Saccharomyces cerevisiae S288C: one gene and its partners. The main gene of each other region encodes a partner of the protein of the gene in region 2 in a complex. Each region holds a gene or a part of one and is shown on either strand. Other genes may lie near its edges. A codon is read from its position in the direction of its gene.

Evidence for each region.
Region 1: RPC10 (region 2) and RPC53 share a complex: the UniProt entries of both Saccharomyces cerevisiae proteins name them as parts of the RNA polymerase III (Pol III) complex.
Region 3: the proteins of RPC10 (region 2) and RPB3 are in contact, whole or in part, in a crystal structure (PDB 3QT1), measured with the Saccharomyces cerevisiae proteins. Residues at the interface, in NP_012013.1 of Saccharomyces cerevisiae: Arg60 (codon at 3,070), Leu64 (codon at 3,082), Val65 (codon at 3,085), Gln66 (codon at 3,088), Phe67 (codon at 3,091), Glu68 (codon at 3,094), Ala69 (codon at 3,097), Arg70 (codon at 3,100); in NP_012243.3 of Saccharomyces cerevisiae: Ile46 (codon at 2,799), Asp47 (codon at 2,796), Ser48 (codon at 2,793), Val49 (codon at 2,790), Glu50 (codon at 2,787), Val51 (codon at 2,784), Glu52 (codon at 2,781), Asn54 (codon at 2,775), Asp60 (codon at 2,757), Glu61 (codon at 2,754), Ala64 (codon at 2,745), His65 (codon at 2,742), Gly68 (codon at 2,733), Glu166 (codon at 2,439), His167 (codon at 2,436), Lys169 (codon at 2,430), Trp170 (codon at 2,427).

What each region holds. Positions count from the first base shown.
Region 1 is NC_001136.10:181,380-186,588, reverse strand, and holds RPC53 (DNA-directed RNA polymerase III subunit C53), read right to left. Parts: upstream 3,247-5,209; coding exon 1,978-3,246; downstream 1-1,977. Other genes in the region: autophagy protein ATG9, read right to left, coding at 1-1,664; rRNA-processing protein SAS10, read left to right, coding at 3,571-5,209. UniProt on the Saccharomyces cerevisiae protein: DNA-dependent RNA polymerase catalyzes the transcription of DNA into RNA using the four ribonucleoside triphosphates as substrates. Specific peripheric component of RNA polymerase III which synthesizes small RNAs, such as 5S rRNA and tRNAs.
Region 2 is NC_001140.6:384,341-389,588, forward strand, and holds RPC10 (DNA-directed RNA polymerase core subunit RPC10), read left to right. Parts: upstream 1-2,892; coding exon 2,893-3,105; downstream 3,106-5,248. Other genes in the region: CHS7 (Chs7p), read left to right, coding at 1-148; DSE2 (Dse2p), read left to right, coding at 1,170-2,147; DCD1 (deoxycytidine monophosphate deaminase), read right to left, coding at 3,448-4,386. UniProt on the Saccharomyces cerevisiae protein: DNA-dependent RNA polymerases catalyze the transcription of DNA into RNA using the four ribonucleoside triphosphates as substrates.
Region 3 is NC_001141.2:311,214-315,838, reverse strand, and holds RPB3 (DNA-directed RNA polymerase II core subunit RPB3), read right to left. Parts: upstream 2,935-4,625; coding exon 1,978-2,934; downstream 1-1,977. Other genes in the region: FAF1 (Faf1p), read right to left, coding at 1-746; 1-(5-phosphoribosyl)-5- ((5-phosphoribosylamino)methylideneamino)imidazole-4-carboxamide isomerase HIS6, read left to right, coding at 1,019-1,804; protein translocase subunit TIM44, read right to left, coding at 3,379-4,625. UniProt on the Saccharomyces cerevisiae protein: DNA-dependent RNA polymerase catalyzes the transcription of DNA into RNA using the four ribonucleoside triphosphates as substrates. Component of RNA polymerase II which synthesizes mRNA precursors and many functional non-coding RNAs.

The sequences.
Region 1 (5,209 bases), on a different chromosome or scaffold from region 2:
AAAACAAAGTATGTGACCAGAAATGGTGCCAATATAATATTAAGAAATCCTGCCAGCATGAATCTTTTTTGTAATTCTTCTCTCGTGAATTCTCTTTGAGAAGGTTTTAAAATACTTTGTTTAATAAATCCGGACTCGTTGAACACAAAGCCCATGACGCATAAATTAATATTCCATTCTAGTGTTTTTGTCAGAACGTTGGTCCTAAATAATGGAATAGGCAAGGATAAATTCAGGATGTCGCTATTGTAAAGTGCTATGAGATAGTTTTCTCTTCTCATGATTCTATTGGCAACGTCATGCGCGTCGATTCTATTCTTGGCTTTGACTTCCACAACATTTGCCGTCATAGCGTTTTGATCCTTCAAGTACATTAGCTGCTGTATCACATTTTGCCAGGGCAAAGTTTGAAGTTCGTCATCCGATATATTTAAAAGATACTTGTAAAAGTTTTGTAATTCTGATAATTTTTGAACATCAAAGTAGAGTTGAACAATTTTGAGAATCACGAAGAAATAAAACATCCAAAGGAAAAACTTTGTGAACCCCGTTATACTATTAGAATAACACTTGTCGATAATAATATCCGAAACCCGGTGACTAGTCGGTAATTTGGAGTAGTCAACACAGTGACCCATATATGTAGAAACAAAAACAACAAAAAGCAAAGTGCATATATTCAATATTTTTTCCAGTATGATGCAATAGAACCCATTTCCCAGATAATAATTGTAAACATCTTGAAGAAATATATCGAGGTTTTCTACGTTTGCCCATTTCCACAGAGCCCGCTCTTTCACGCTCAACGTATTGATTCTATCTTCCGGGGTATTGTTTAAAACGGATATATTGCTCAGTAAATTTGGCTTTCTTAATGGAAACAATTTAGTGAACCTGTTTGTATTATTTAAGGGCGAACCGGTAAACCGAGGTTGTGTAGCACTACCAAAGTATTTAGTGCCATGCTTTTGATTACCATTAATGTTACGGGGACCATTATTTGCACTCTTGTCCTTATCATGGTGAATGGCGTTCGACGAAGTAAATAGCTTTTGGGTATCACGTTGAGGGCGGTTATTCTGTAAGATATGCCTGAAAAACAAAGGTCGTTTACCGTCCTCTATAGTATTGCTTTTCTTAGAGCTAAATTCATGAATCTTGCTTTTTTGAAAAAGGGGCGTATCGTCATCAAATCCATCATTATTTATGAACTCATTATCCTCTTCTTCTTCTGACGAAAGCTGTCCGACTTTGGGCACAGAATCATCGGTAGAGCCTTCAACCAGTCTTTCTAAATTGCTTTTTTCCGTTTCAAGTACATTTTCTTTGCTCGTTACAGAATTTAGCTGGTGGTCTCCATCCAATCCATCACTAATCTGTGGAGCATACGCCTGGACTTGCTCTTCATCTACTTCATCCTCTTCTTCTGTACTAGTGCCTTGGTCAGACTCAGGAACACGTAAGTCATTCTCATCTACATCTTCGCGGCTGTCGTTAGTAGAATGCAATAAAGATGAGCCTCTCTCTATGTCTGGTAAAGGGAAGTTGCTCATCTCCTGGCTATTAAGAGAAGGATTAACTTCATCCGATTGTAAACCAAATATTCGCGATAAGAAAGTATTCTTCCCATGAGAGTTGGGTAACTGGTATTCATCTCTCTCCATAACCTAATAATTCCGTGATTTTGATATTTCAGGCTGTTCTTAAATGTCTTCTTATCAAAGTGAGATACTCATTACTTCACGGTGGTTATGGCGCTTCTTTTTGTTTAAAGTGTGGCTCCCCTAAAGTTCCGAAACTGGGTAACAATAACTAGAATAACATTACCAATGTTCAAAGAGGATGAGAAATTGTAGAAGACAAGACGTCAATAGTACCTTTTGAATGGGAATCTAAGCATCTTAATTAGTGTAATTTGTTCTAGAAGTATTTATGACTGTGTATATTCATTTATATACTCGACAGATGCGAGTGCGATTAGATTTGAGGTGTGACTACTATTTTACCGTCCACACGGCCTAGAAGTTCCGCTGAGGATGCATCATCAGCGATACTTAATGCTATAACATCTTGTAAAAATGTGGTTTCGGCACCTTTGCCAATATCCATCACCACATTTCCAATTTTCACGGAAAGTTTTCCAGATTTGTGAACCCGTATAGACCCAACCTTGCCGGCAAGTTCTCTAGTAGACAAAGCATCCTTCGTGTCCTTCTTTTTAATATTCTTCTTCTTCTTTGAAGGGTCGCTAGCCTGGGTTTCCATGTCTTCTTTTTCTTCTTTCACAGCGGGTCTTTCAAAAGCTGGTAACCTAGTAGGTAACTGGAATACCATGAATCTTTCTGGTTTATTATTCATTTTCTTTAGTTTTCGTAATATATGCTGATGATCTGCATTTAATAATTCCAACTCAGCGGCCGCTTCTTTCCCATCAACCGATTGAAACTCCTTTTCAAGTCCAAGATCTGCCAGTTTCTCATTGACTTGCCTTTCTCTTTCTTCCAAATAAGATTGTAATCCGGTTCCGACAGGCTCTGTCTTCACACTGGGGGTTGGTTCACGAGTTGGCTTTTCTGAAAGAGCTTCTTGTATTTCTCTTTTGACAGTTTCAACGTCTTCGTGTCTTACGCGGACAGGTCTCACAGGGAATAACTGTTCAATCCGTTTAGATCTCCATTCTTCGTCATCCATGTCGACGTCACTGCTCTTTTCACTTTCGCCGTCATCTTCGTCCTCTATGAGATTGCGTGCCTCGAATTCTTTTCCCATATTGAACTTCTTCTTAGATTTGGACGCTACACCTTCATTATCATCGTCTTCTGCCTCATTCTCAGAGCTCTCAGCACCATTGTCAATAGTTTCCAGGCCCTTTTGCACAAGAGATGACCCGCTTCCTTCTGATTTGATGAATCCTCTTCTCAAATCACCCTTCTCACTTACAAAGTTCCCAGCCGCCAATGGACCGCTAGAGATAACGTGTGTGTTATTTAAGTATTTGGCCATTCGCCTTTGCTGGCCGCCAGCGCCGGTTACTCTTTTATTCTTGTTATTGAAATGTTTCTTGTCATTACCTCTCTTAGATTCCTCCTCTAGCTTTACTTTGGACGCAGCTGCTTCTCTTTCTTCCTTGGACTTTCTTGCAACTGCTTTTGGTTTAAACTTTAATGAGGGCTTGGCAGATCCTCCTCCATTGGAGGAGGAATCTTTTAATGATGGCAAGCGCCCATTTCCTTTATTACTGCTCATACTTAATGAATGCTATCCCGCTTAATAAAAAACAAGATTACGCTTCGACTTTCGGTTAGTCTAGCAAATTATAAATACCTCAATATCTTTCTAGCTGTCCTCTTTTGAATTGTTCTCTTGAATACCATAATTCTCTGGTCATTATCTTCTGCTGATCAAAAAATTGGACTTTGCAGGGCGGATGAAAAATTTTCAAACTGCGCTTCTGCAATGAAAAAAAATTCAATAATGAAGCTCATCTCATCATAGCTCATCTCACTGATGCTTTTATACAAAAAGTTTTGGAGGAAGAGAAAACATATTAGAGTGGGTGTATAGAATAATATGGTACGCAAAGGCTCAAACAGAACTAAGACCTCTGAAGTTGGGGATGAGATTAATCCGTATGGTTTAAACGAAGTTGATGATTTTGCTTCTAAAAGGGAAAAGGTTTTACTTGGACAATCCACCTTTGGCGACAGTAATAAAGATGATGACCATTCTCTGTTAGAAGACGAAGATGAGGAAGAAGTCTTAGCCATGGATGAAGATGATGAGTCAATAGATGAAAGAGAAGATGAGGAAGAAGAAGAGGAAGAGGAACTAGATGGTGCTGCAGCCTATAAGAAAATATTTGGTAGAAACTTAGAAACTGACCAGCTTCCTGAGGAAGATGAAGAGAATGGTATGTTAGACAACGAGAATGCCTGGGGGTCCACAAAAGGAGAATATTATGGGGCTGATGATTTAGATGATGACGAAGCTGCTAAGGAAATAGAAAAGGAAGCTTTACGACAACAAAAGAAGCATCTGGAAGAACTTAATATGAACGATTACTTAGATGAAGAAGAAGAAGAAGAGTGGGTCAAAAGTGCCAAAGAATTTGACATGGGTGAATTTAAGAACTCGACCAAGCAGGCTGATACTAAAACTTCCATAACGGATATTCTAAATATGGATGACGAAGCAAGGGATAACTATTTAAGGACAATGTTTCCTGAATTTGCTCCACTTTCAAAAGAATTCACAGAATTAGCTCCAAAGTTTGACGAATTAAAGAAATCTGAGGAAAATGAGTTCAATAAATTAAAGCTAATTGCACTTGGAAGTTACCTAGGCACAATATCATGTTACTATAGTATCTTGTTGCACGAACTCCATAATAATGAAGATTTCACATCTATGAAGGGACATCCGGTCATGGAAAAGATTTTAACGACAAAAGAGATTTGGAGGCAAGCCAGCGAATTGCCATCTAGTTTTGATGTGAATGAAGGAGATGGTTCTGAAAGTGAAGAAACCGCAAACATTGAGGCCTTTAACGAAAAGAAGCTGAATGAGTTGCAAAACAGTGAAGATTCTGATGCAGAGGATGGAGGAAAACAAAAGCAAGAAATTGATGAAGAAGAAAGAGAAAGCGATGAAGAAGAAGAAGAAGAAGATGTTGATATTGACGATTTTGAAGAGTACGTAGCACAATCACGTCTGCATTCTAAACCGAAAACATCATCAATGCCTGAAGCTGATGATTTCATTGAATCTGAGATTGCTGATGTGGACGCACAAGACAAAAAAGCTCGTAGAAGAACTTTGCGTTTCTATACTTCGAAAATTGATCAACAAGAAAATAAAAAGACGGATAGATTCAAAGGTGATGATGATATTCCATATAAGGAACGTTTATTTGAAAGGCAGCAACGTCTGTTGGATGAAGCTCGTAAACGTGGTATGCATGATAATAATGGTGCTGACCTAGACGATAAGGATTACGGTTCTGAAGATGAAGCTGTGTCTAGGAGCATCAACACTCAAGGCGAGAACGATTATTATCAACAGGTTCAGAGAGGTAAACAAGACAAGAAAATATCTCGTAAAGAGGCTCATAAGAATGCTGTTATTGCTGCAAGGGAAGGAAAATTGGCGGAATTGGCTGAAAATGTCTCAGGTGATGGTAAGCGTGCCATTAATTATCAAATTTTAAAGA
Region 2 (5,248 bases):
AGATGGCCTCTTTTTTGGAAGCATCTGTAATGTGTTCACATTAATGATGGTTTACAAGACTTGGGATATGACTACCGACGACGACTTGGAATTTGGTGTAAGTGTTAGCAAGGACGGTGACGTGGTGTATGATAATGGATTTATGTGAAATGCTTCTTTTTTCTATTACCATATATAGAAAATAGGTGTATACTATTAGTTTAATGTAATAAGCAGGACTATGACAAACCAAAGAGTGAAAGTAGCCGTTTCCACGTTTTAACGGCTTGTGTACACTTTGACAGTCAATCAGCGTAGTGACTTCTTTTATCAGCGGAAACAACCATATCCATAAAAGAAACGTGATGGTCGTTCCCGTAGTTTATTAAGTAAGATGACAAATTATCCTTCTTTAGTCAATTGAAAACAAAACTTCTTAATCTGTTTCCAATGTTTTAAAGTCGCTCATATGTTCATGACTACTTTTCCATGAGAGGGTTCTACGAAAAGCATCATCTTATTTTCGCAACGCTGCGGGTTTAGGCCTTTCCGCTGGTCTCTTTTCTGTTTACAGTTCTGCCCGAATGTAAACAAATACTTTGCGAAAAGTAAATAATGTATTCTGAAAAAAAAAAAGAGAACTGTGAACAATGCTTGATAGTTGTAGGAATATCTTAGAAGAAAGGGGATAGATTATCTGGAAAATCGTTTGAATAAAATAAGAACCAGTAATTCATTCGTTTAAATTGGAAAAACAAAACATAAAAGAACCAGCAATGTCTTGGTTGCCTGTTAATGTAAAAAGTTCTCCCAAAAGATGACAGGAAACTCGTTAACTCATACTCGGTATATAAGAGGAAACTTATCTAATGTTTCATTCATTCTTCCTCTTCTGCTTATTCGATGTCTATTGAAAAACTTCAAGTAAACCAGCAATATCGACTTCCATTAAGTAGACAGCGAGCCTGAAACAAAGAATATACTGTTTCAATTCCAACTAAAGCCACTCCCTCAAGCGTTATTATTTTTTGAATTATATTTTCGGGTTTTAAGCTAACTCTAGTCATTCCTTACTACATTTTATTGTAACTCTTCAGTAGAGCTAACCACAGTCATTCCTTAATATTTTTTAACACAGATCTCTTTCACAGAGTAGAAATAAAGCCACTCCTTTAACAAATTACAAAGAAATGAAATTTAATTTTTCTACAATTTTCAATATCTTATTCTTTTTATTCACCTTAATTGAAGCCAACAGCAATGGGGAAACAGTCAAACTTATTACTTCTGATGGTATTGTTTACAGTTATGCTGTCTACACAAAGACTCTTGCGCCGGCAAGGGTTGTGGTTAAAACGATTTCATATACTACTACAAGGGTATATCCGATTACTTTAGCTAATTCCGTCGTTTCTTCCACTACTGAAAAGATAACAGAGGTTTCAACGGTGTCAGCTTCAGAACAAGTTAGTGCTACTCAAACAAACTCATTGGTTTCTACTTCTACTGTTTCCACTATCAGTCCAACGATTTCATCTGGTTCTTCAACATCCTCTAGCTCTACATACGATATCGAATCATCTCAAAGTATCGAATCGTCAGGTACATCTTCCGCTACAGCCGAACCATCTGCGTCTTCAGGTTTTCGTTTGACTTCTAGTTCTGCTTTTGTTTCATCTACTGCACCTTTCTCTTCCCAACTTTCTTCATCTTCATCTTCTGAAACATCATCCTCATCATTTTCAACATCATCATCATCTGCCCCTCTTTCCTTAACTTCTTCTTCTTCTTCTTCTTCTTCTTTCGCCACTATTATTACCTTGGCACCATCGAGCTCAAAAAGCGGAAACTCTCAACTAACTTTGGCGTCATCGTCTTCCACTTCCGCAGTTGAGTCATCCCAAACAGGGTCCACTATAGCAAGAACTACCTCTACACTGGTACCCTCTTCTAGCGTAGATACAACGTCTAGAGCAACGACATCCATGCCATTAGAATCGTCTTCTACGCAATCGATATCCGTCTCCAGCTCGGATGGCACTTGTTACGTTTTTTATGATGATGATGACTACTATAGTACTGTCTACTTAACTAACCCGTCTCAATCCGTTGATGCCGCCACCACTATAACTAGTACAAACACAATTTATGCTACGGTTACCATTTAGCGCTTAGGCATAATGGTGGTGCATTCTTTTCTATTTGTTTTCTCAGGCGTATTTTTTCCATTATTTTTTGTTAAAAATAGTAAAAAGACAGTATTATTTATTCATTTTTCCTCGTGTTGTTATAACGACTAAGTTTCCTAATTTCTTTATTTTGTTTTTTTCTCATGATCTTTTCATTTTGTAGTTTCAACTATTATATACAATGTGTATACTATAACTTAATTTTATTAGTTACCTCTTACTAAGGATACTGATTCTTCCCCACTCATTTCATGAATTCATCACAAGTCTTTAGTATTTTTCATATGGAAATTACATCACCTATATATATCAAAATGTTCCGGCGAGTACATTGTCAGAATCTACAGTTTTTCCTGATATGAGCAGTGATATGGAGAAAGAGACACTAAATAAGAACAAAATATTGCCGTAGATTTAATGATTCAATCATGTGTGTCAAATTTGTTCTCCATTGCATCTTCCTATTTGACATTTGTCTCATGACCACGACATTGTACATTACCAGGTAAGGCTACAATTAGCCTCACCGATGTAACGTTATATAACGCTGCGGTCGTAGAATATGATTTTTCTGAATTTTAATTTTTTTTTTTTTTTTTTTCATTTCTTTAACATCTAAAATAGATTTTAGAATCAGAAAAGTGAAGAGTATTCCACATCATCGACTTATTCTACCAACATTTAATAAGAACGTACCCAAGAATAAAAGTCCACAAGTATAACAATGTCTCGCGAAGGGTTCCAGATTCCAACAAATTTAGACGCCGCAGCTGCAGGTACTTCTCAAGCTAGAACGGCAACTTTGAAGTATATTTGTGCTGAATGTTCTAGTAAATTATCTTTATCCAGAACTGATGCAGTCCGTTGTAAGGACTGTGGTCATAGAATCCTGTTGAAGGCTAGGACTAAGAGATTGGTTCAATTTGAAGCTAGATGAATGGAGAGACTGAAAACCATAATGGGTTACCGGGGCAGAATAATACGAAATAAAGAACCTAGGTTTTCCAAGGTTTTTGCAATATATAAACTTGTGCTTGATTTAAGTTTATGCAGCACTTTTCTTCCAGCAAATTCTTTATGTTTTTTTAAGGGAAAACGTATATCACTTAGAGATTATATTAATGAAAAAAGGTGTATACAAATGTATAATAATAATAGTATATAAGAAAAGTATTCGCTATTTATAGTGATTTTAGTTTGTACAATGTACTGTATTTTTTTTAAATGTAGTATTTTATATATATGTTACATTAGTTCGAACTGAAAAGGAACTTATGAATTAAATCATCACAATTCTTGGTTCTTCCGTAAAGCTGAATTGCCGGACGGTTATTCCCGCATTCTTCAAGACCTTGAAACTTTCCTCGTCCATTCTATAACTTTGGCTATAAACTACTTCACTGATGCCTGTTTGAACAATCTTTACAGAACATGTTAAGCAAGGGCAAGTATCACAGTATAAGGTCGCATTTTGACCTACACGATCCCTGCCAGCTTCCAGTAGTGCATTCTCTTCTGCATGTAAGCATAAGCAAGTGTGCAGATTTCTAGAATCACCGTCATTGCAACGTGGGCAACCGCCATTGAAACAATTTGTTAAATGTCGAGGAGTCCCATTATAGCCAGTAGCAATCACTCTGCATTCTCTCACAATCACGCAACCAACTCTACGTTTCATGCAATTGGAACGAGATGCTGCTAGTGTGGCTAACTTCATAAAATAGCTATCCCAACTAGGCCTCATTAATGGAGCCATTTGTTTCTCTTTGTCATCGAGAATCTTTAATTGTGTGGTAATGTTATTAATCAAGCTCTGTCTCCTTCCTCTGCGGTCCTCATTAACTATTTTAAATCTCAAATGGGATTTCTCCCTTAATTTGATGCCTTCAGGCTGAAAGTCATGTTGATCAATGGCTTGTATTATTTGTTCTAATGATAAGCTTTCTGCTTGAGTCGTTTTCCTGTATAATGCTACCCTTGTAGTGACAGGAGCGTCGATAGAAAGATGAACAAAAAATGGTCTCTTTTCCAGTTTCTCCAGTAATGATAATTTTTCTAGGAATATAACTGAATTTTTTGTGTAATTTTTCGTAGCATAATCTAATATCTCCTCTGGATTATCTAGGTGATTGAGTAATTCAAAATGAAAATGATCAACCAACATGTTAATAACATCTTCGCATCCGCAAAATTTCGTACCACTTACACCAATTAACATAATCGTGTTATATTGATTAGTGTAGCATTCACACCTTTAATGTGCCAAAAAAAGATGTTGAATTCTATGGTAATGCAGAAGTTTCAATTCTCGAGATTGCCTACATCATCTCATAACTGCGTACCGCGCGTTCTTGCAAAGAACAAAAAAGTGAAAAAATTATAATGGGGCGAGCTGGGAATTGAACCCAGGGCCTCTCGCATGCTTTGTCTTCCTGTTTAGGCAGGAAGTCGCCCAAAGCGAGAATCATACCACTAGACCACACGCCCATGTATCTGTTGGTGTTCTAAATAAAGAATTAAACTATGTAGGCATAAAAAGAGACGGGAGCATCTTAAAGATGCAACTGGATGGAGAATGGCAAAATATGAAGAAGAAGGAAGGAAAAGAAATATTATTATGCGTAACTGTTGATTCCTTTTTGTGGATTTCTTGAGGAGAATGTCTTTTTGAAGAGTGGGTGAATTTTGAGATAATTGTTGGGATTCCATTTTTAATAAGGCAATAATATTAGGTATGTAGAATGTACTAGAAGTTCTCCTCGAGGATTTAGGAATCCATAAAAGGGAATCTGCAATTCTACACAATTCTATAAATATTATTATCATCATTTTATATGTTAATATTCATTGATCCTATTACATTATCAATCCTTGCGTTTCAGCTTCCACTAATTTAGATGACTATTTCTCATCATTTGCGTCATCTTCTAACACCGTATATGATAATATACTAGTAACGTAAATACTAGTTAGTAGATGATAGTTGATTTTTATTCCAACACTTTTATATATTCTGTATTTGATGTTATAGCTTTATCAATTACAGAATGCCAAAAATTATCAAATTATTCACCAATATC
Region 3 (4,625 bases), on a different chromosome or scaffold from region 2:
CTCTTGACGTGCTTGTCGATCATTCCTCTTCTAATATGCATGGGTACTTTTTCCAGCTTATTTATTTTGTCCTGATGACCATTCACCCTTGAGAGTCTATTCAGTCTCATTTCGAGTGTACGCGATCTGGCCTTCCCAATAACTTGATCATCCTGGTATACTATGCCATCATCATTTCCACCACCCATACTCTGTAGAGTCAACGATACACCACTGTTTGTAGAACCACTTCCACCGTTATTGAAAGCGCTCAATAAGTGAGACTCTCTCAGAAATTGCTGCAACTCCAGGTCGTTTTGTAAATTTTCCGCCTCCAAAGTCTCATCTTCTTTTTCTTCCTTGGCTTCAGTACTCTCCAATTTTTTGTTTATTTGAGTTAAAGTTTTGCCGCTTCTCAAAAGTTTCTGTGTCTTCTTACTTGGAGGAACATAAACGTCACTAGGCCCGTTGAATCTAATGACCTTTGGTTGAGTTTTCGGTTTGGAATCTTGATTATTTTCTTCCGCGGTTTCGTTACCGCTATCTTCATCAGAAGAATTAGAACTTTCTATAGTACCATCCTTGAAATCACTACCATGATCGGAATTGTCAATTTCATCACCTGAACTGTCTCTGGTATCTACTTCAGTTCGTATATTTTTTGTTTTATCTTCGAACCCCATGGACTCTAAAGATCCGAACTGACTTTCAAAAGCTTTTCTTTGAAGCTCCATTTGTTTTATATAGTCGTCATCATCAAGGGTCATCTTTTTATGGCTTTTGGGTCATTTGTACTCTCAATATTGTTATAACTGTTCCTGCCATCGTTAATGTATACTCATCTCATCGCTCAAAATTTTTCTAGGAACGGAACGGTCGCATGAGACGAATGACGAAAATTCAGCACAGGGTCCATTGCCAAGATTGAGCCATGTCTAGTGTGCAGAGTCATACGGAATAATTTGAGAATCCTCGCCTGCAAATTCACAATATCTTCGAAACTGCGCATAAGAAGGCTGGGGGTATATACTAGAAAAAAATGACGAAGTTTATTGGTTGTATAGACCTGCATAATGGAGAGGTTAAACAGATTGTAGGTGGAACGTTAACGAGCAAAAAGGAGGACGTTCCAAAAACTAACTTTGTATCACAACATCCTTCTTCATATTACGCTAAACTTTACAAAGACAGAGATGTCCAAGGATGTCATGTTATTAAGTTGGGACCTAACAATGACGACGCTGCACGCGAGGCACTCCAGGAGTCACCACAATTTCTACAAGTGGGCGGAGGAATTAATGATACGAACTGTTTGGAATGGTTAAAATGGGCCAGTAAAGTAATTGTTACGAGTTGGCTATTTACAAAAGAGGGTCATTTTCAATTAAAAAGGTTAGAAAGACTGACAGAACTATGTGGGAAAGACCGCATTGTTGTAGACTTAAGCTGTAGAAAAACCCAGGACGGTCGTTGGATTGTGGCCATGAACAAATGGCAAACTCTAACTGATCTTGAGCTTAATGCTGACACTTTCAGAGAATTGAGGAAATATACAAATGAGTTTCTAATTCACGCTGCAGACGTTGAAGGTTTGTGTGGTGGTATCGATGAATTATTGGTTTCTAAGCTTTTCGAATGGACCAAAGATTACGATGATTTGAAAATCGTTTATGCTGGTGGGGCCAAAAGTGTTGATGATTTGAAATTAGTAGACGAACTAAGTCACGGAAAAGTAGATTTGACATTCGGTAGTTCCTTAGATATATTTGGTGGTAACCTAGTTAAGTTTGAAGACTGCTGTAGATGGAATGAAAAGCAAGGTTAGCCCTTCCTTTCATTTTTTCATTTTCTTTTTTCTTTTTTGTTTGCTTCGTACTTTAGATTATAATACTTATAATACTAATCATAATGATACATACATGCATATAAAGCTTTTTTTCTCTTATTATTTTCGGTTCGTTCACTTGTTTTTTTTCCTCTATTACGCCCACTTGAGAACTACCAAGCATTATCATACCCTCCTGATCCAGTATTACCCATTTGAGATGCATTGGAGTAAGGATCTTGCTCAGCGCCCGTCATCATTACGTCTTCGTTACTTCCCAGCATATTTGAAGCGGTGTTGTTATCACCCGATGCAAAATTAACTTTGTCTTGATCCATCTGTGTCAGAGCTAACAATATTGAGGCAACCTTTTTCTGTAATGTATCGATACCTCTGACGACAACTTGATCAACGGGAATAGACCCCACAGATTCTACATTCATATAAAATGTATCTGCCTGAGCCTTATAATCGAAGGGGTCACCTTCGTTTGGAGGATCTTCGTATTCACAATTTTTAGACTGAGGCCATTCTTTGGCAGAATCCTGTTCATACCAGTAATCGGTATGTTTGAGCTTATTCCAAGGATCATACTCGAACTCTATGGCTGCTGCTGGACCCCACTTGGCGTGCTCTTTGGCTATACCCTTTTTCGCAACGCATGTCAGTTTCAATTCTTGACCTTTTCTCAATTTACAAATAAGAACACCGTTACCTTCTTTATCTTGTATAATAGGATGCCCAATATTACGGCCCATGAGATTAGACACAATTACCAAGTCCTTGCTGTAGACGTTTGTAGTACTTTCGCTTTCGCCGAACGCTTGCAATGTTAACACCACTGAACACTTATCACAGTGGTCCTCACAAAAACAATCACGACTGTATTCTAGTTGTTCGATATCCATACTTTGTAGAGGTATTAAACCTAATCTGTGTGCAATAAATTCATCGGCCAAAACCGTAGTATTTGTTTCGACTTCGACTGAATCAATGGCTAAAGTGGGAATCTCTGCTATCATGACTCTACGGAGAGAATTGGCCATAGCCAAATCCACATTGGATAGTATAAAGTCGACGTTATCTTTACTAGCTTCTCTTATTTTAACTTGAGGACCTTCTTCACTCATTTTTCAATATTGTTTTAGTTTTTCAACGCTGGTACGAAGCCTTTGCACCTGATATAAAAAGTGTCTCCCTTTTCCACAGAACAGCCAACGCACTTACGATGTATATGCACACACACAGCTTATTTTTTACCACTTCAATTAGTTTATTTTTCATTTTTTTCCACTTTGCTTCCCGAAAGCCAAACTTGGTCATTGCGAACGAGTTGCGAAGCTTGTCCGTCAAGAAGTATTAGTTATAGTACTATTAGTACAGATGATACTATATAAGGTATATCGTGTCGTATGTTCAAATATATTGGGATATGATTTCCTTTTTTCTCTCTTCCTATTTGATGCAGTATTCCAAAAGAAAAAGTGGGGATCGAAGGTGAGACATAACGGAGTTATTTACAAGCGGAATAGGAAGGAAAAGGAAAAGAAAACAAAAGAGTACATCGAAACCAATCAGGTGAATTGTCTAGAACCCCCGCGCACAAACTCCAAGATCTTCCACCCTTCTGTTTCGTCATCGTCGATTTGCTCTGGGTCTCTGGTGAAAACCATGGCATAAGAGCTCATCAAGATATTAGCTTCGTCACCAGCCGCAATCTCGCCAGTTTTCTTTTTCCTGTAAAGGTTGATTTCTTGTGCTCTACACCCGACCACCAAGACTGGGATGTCTTGGGGAGCCAATAACTTTGCACTCACTATTTCAACGCCCCTGATATCTAGGATACGGCCATCGGCGTAAACATCCTGTTCTTTGAAGATTTTCTGTTGGGCGGCGTAAACATTGAATGGCGCCTCGCTGAACCATTTTTTGAGAACTTTGACATCGCCTTTCACATACGCTTCGAGAATCTCGGGAACAATGTATTCTCTTAAGTGTCTGGTGAAGCTTTCGTTCGAAAAGGTTGGGTCCATTAGCTTAAATTGACTGTAAACACGGGAGGATTCTGTTTCTGCAAAGAAACCGCCCACTTTGTTGGTTATTTTCCTCATGACAACAATTAAGGGGTTTTCACTTTCATCCCACAATTTGTTCTTTAAAGATTGTATAGAACGGCCAACCACGGTTTTCTCCTTGAAATCCTCCACTTTCTTACCAAACGATTCTTTAGACTCGATATTTGTCGCAACCACTGCTGTTCCTGCATCTTCATTGCTCTTTACTGCCCTGTGTCTTTTCCCAGAGGCCAGGTCTCTCTCACGTTTAAGTCTCCTTTGCTCTTTCGTGATAAACCCACCGTATCGGGAACTCTCCCCATCGTCAATGACTTCTGAGACTTCCTTGTAAATCTTCGTCTGTCTCACTGGCTCAAAACTCTCATCCAGCTTCTTCGCCGTGGCGGCAGCCGCCTTTCTTGTGTTCTTACCGAGTTCGGACTCCCAGGCCTTAGTGGCTATATGTTCCATGGTCTCACCGGTCTTTTTCAGAGTTTTACCCACAATTGTGGAGCCTCTCTGAGCTTTCAAATATGCTTCCCTAGCCTTTTTGTAGGCCTCAGACTCGCCTAACTTTCCCGAAGCATCTTGCAGCGTCTTTATGTTCTCCTGCAGTTCCTGAGACTTCTCCCATTCCTTCTTGAATGTATCGCGGAAAATCTGGAGTGGTGATCGAGGGTTTCCACCTTGCGCACGGGTCGTAGAGGTGGAGAATAATACTCGGGCAACGAGTAATCCTGTGTACTGCGATCTGTACCTTGCGGTTA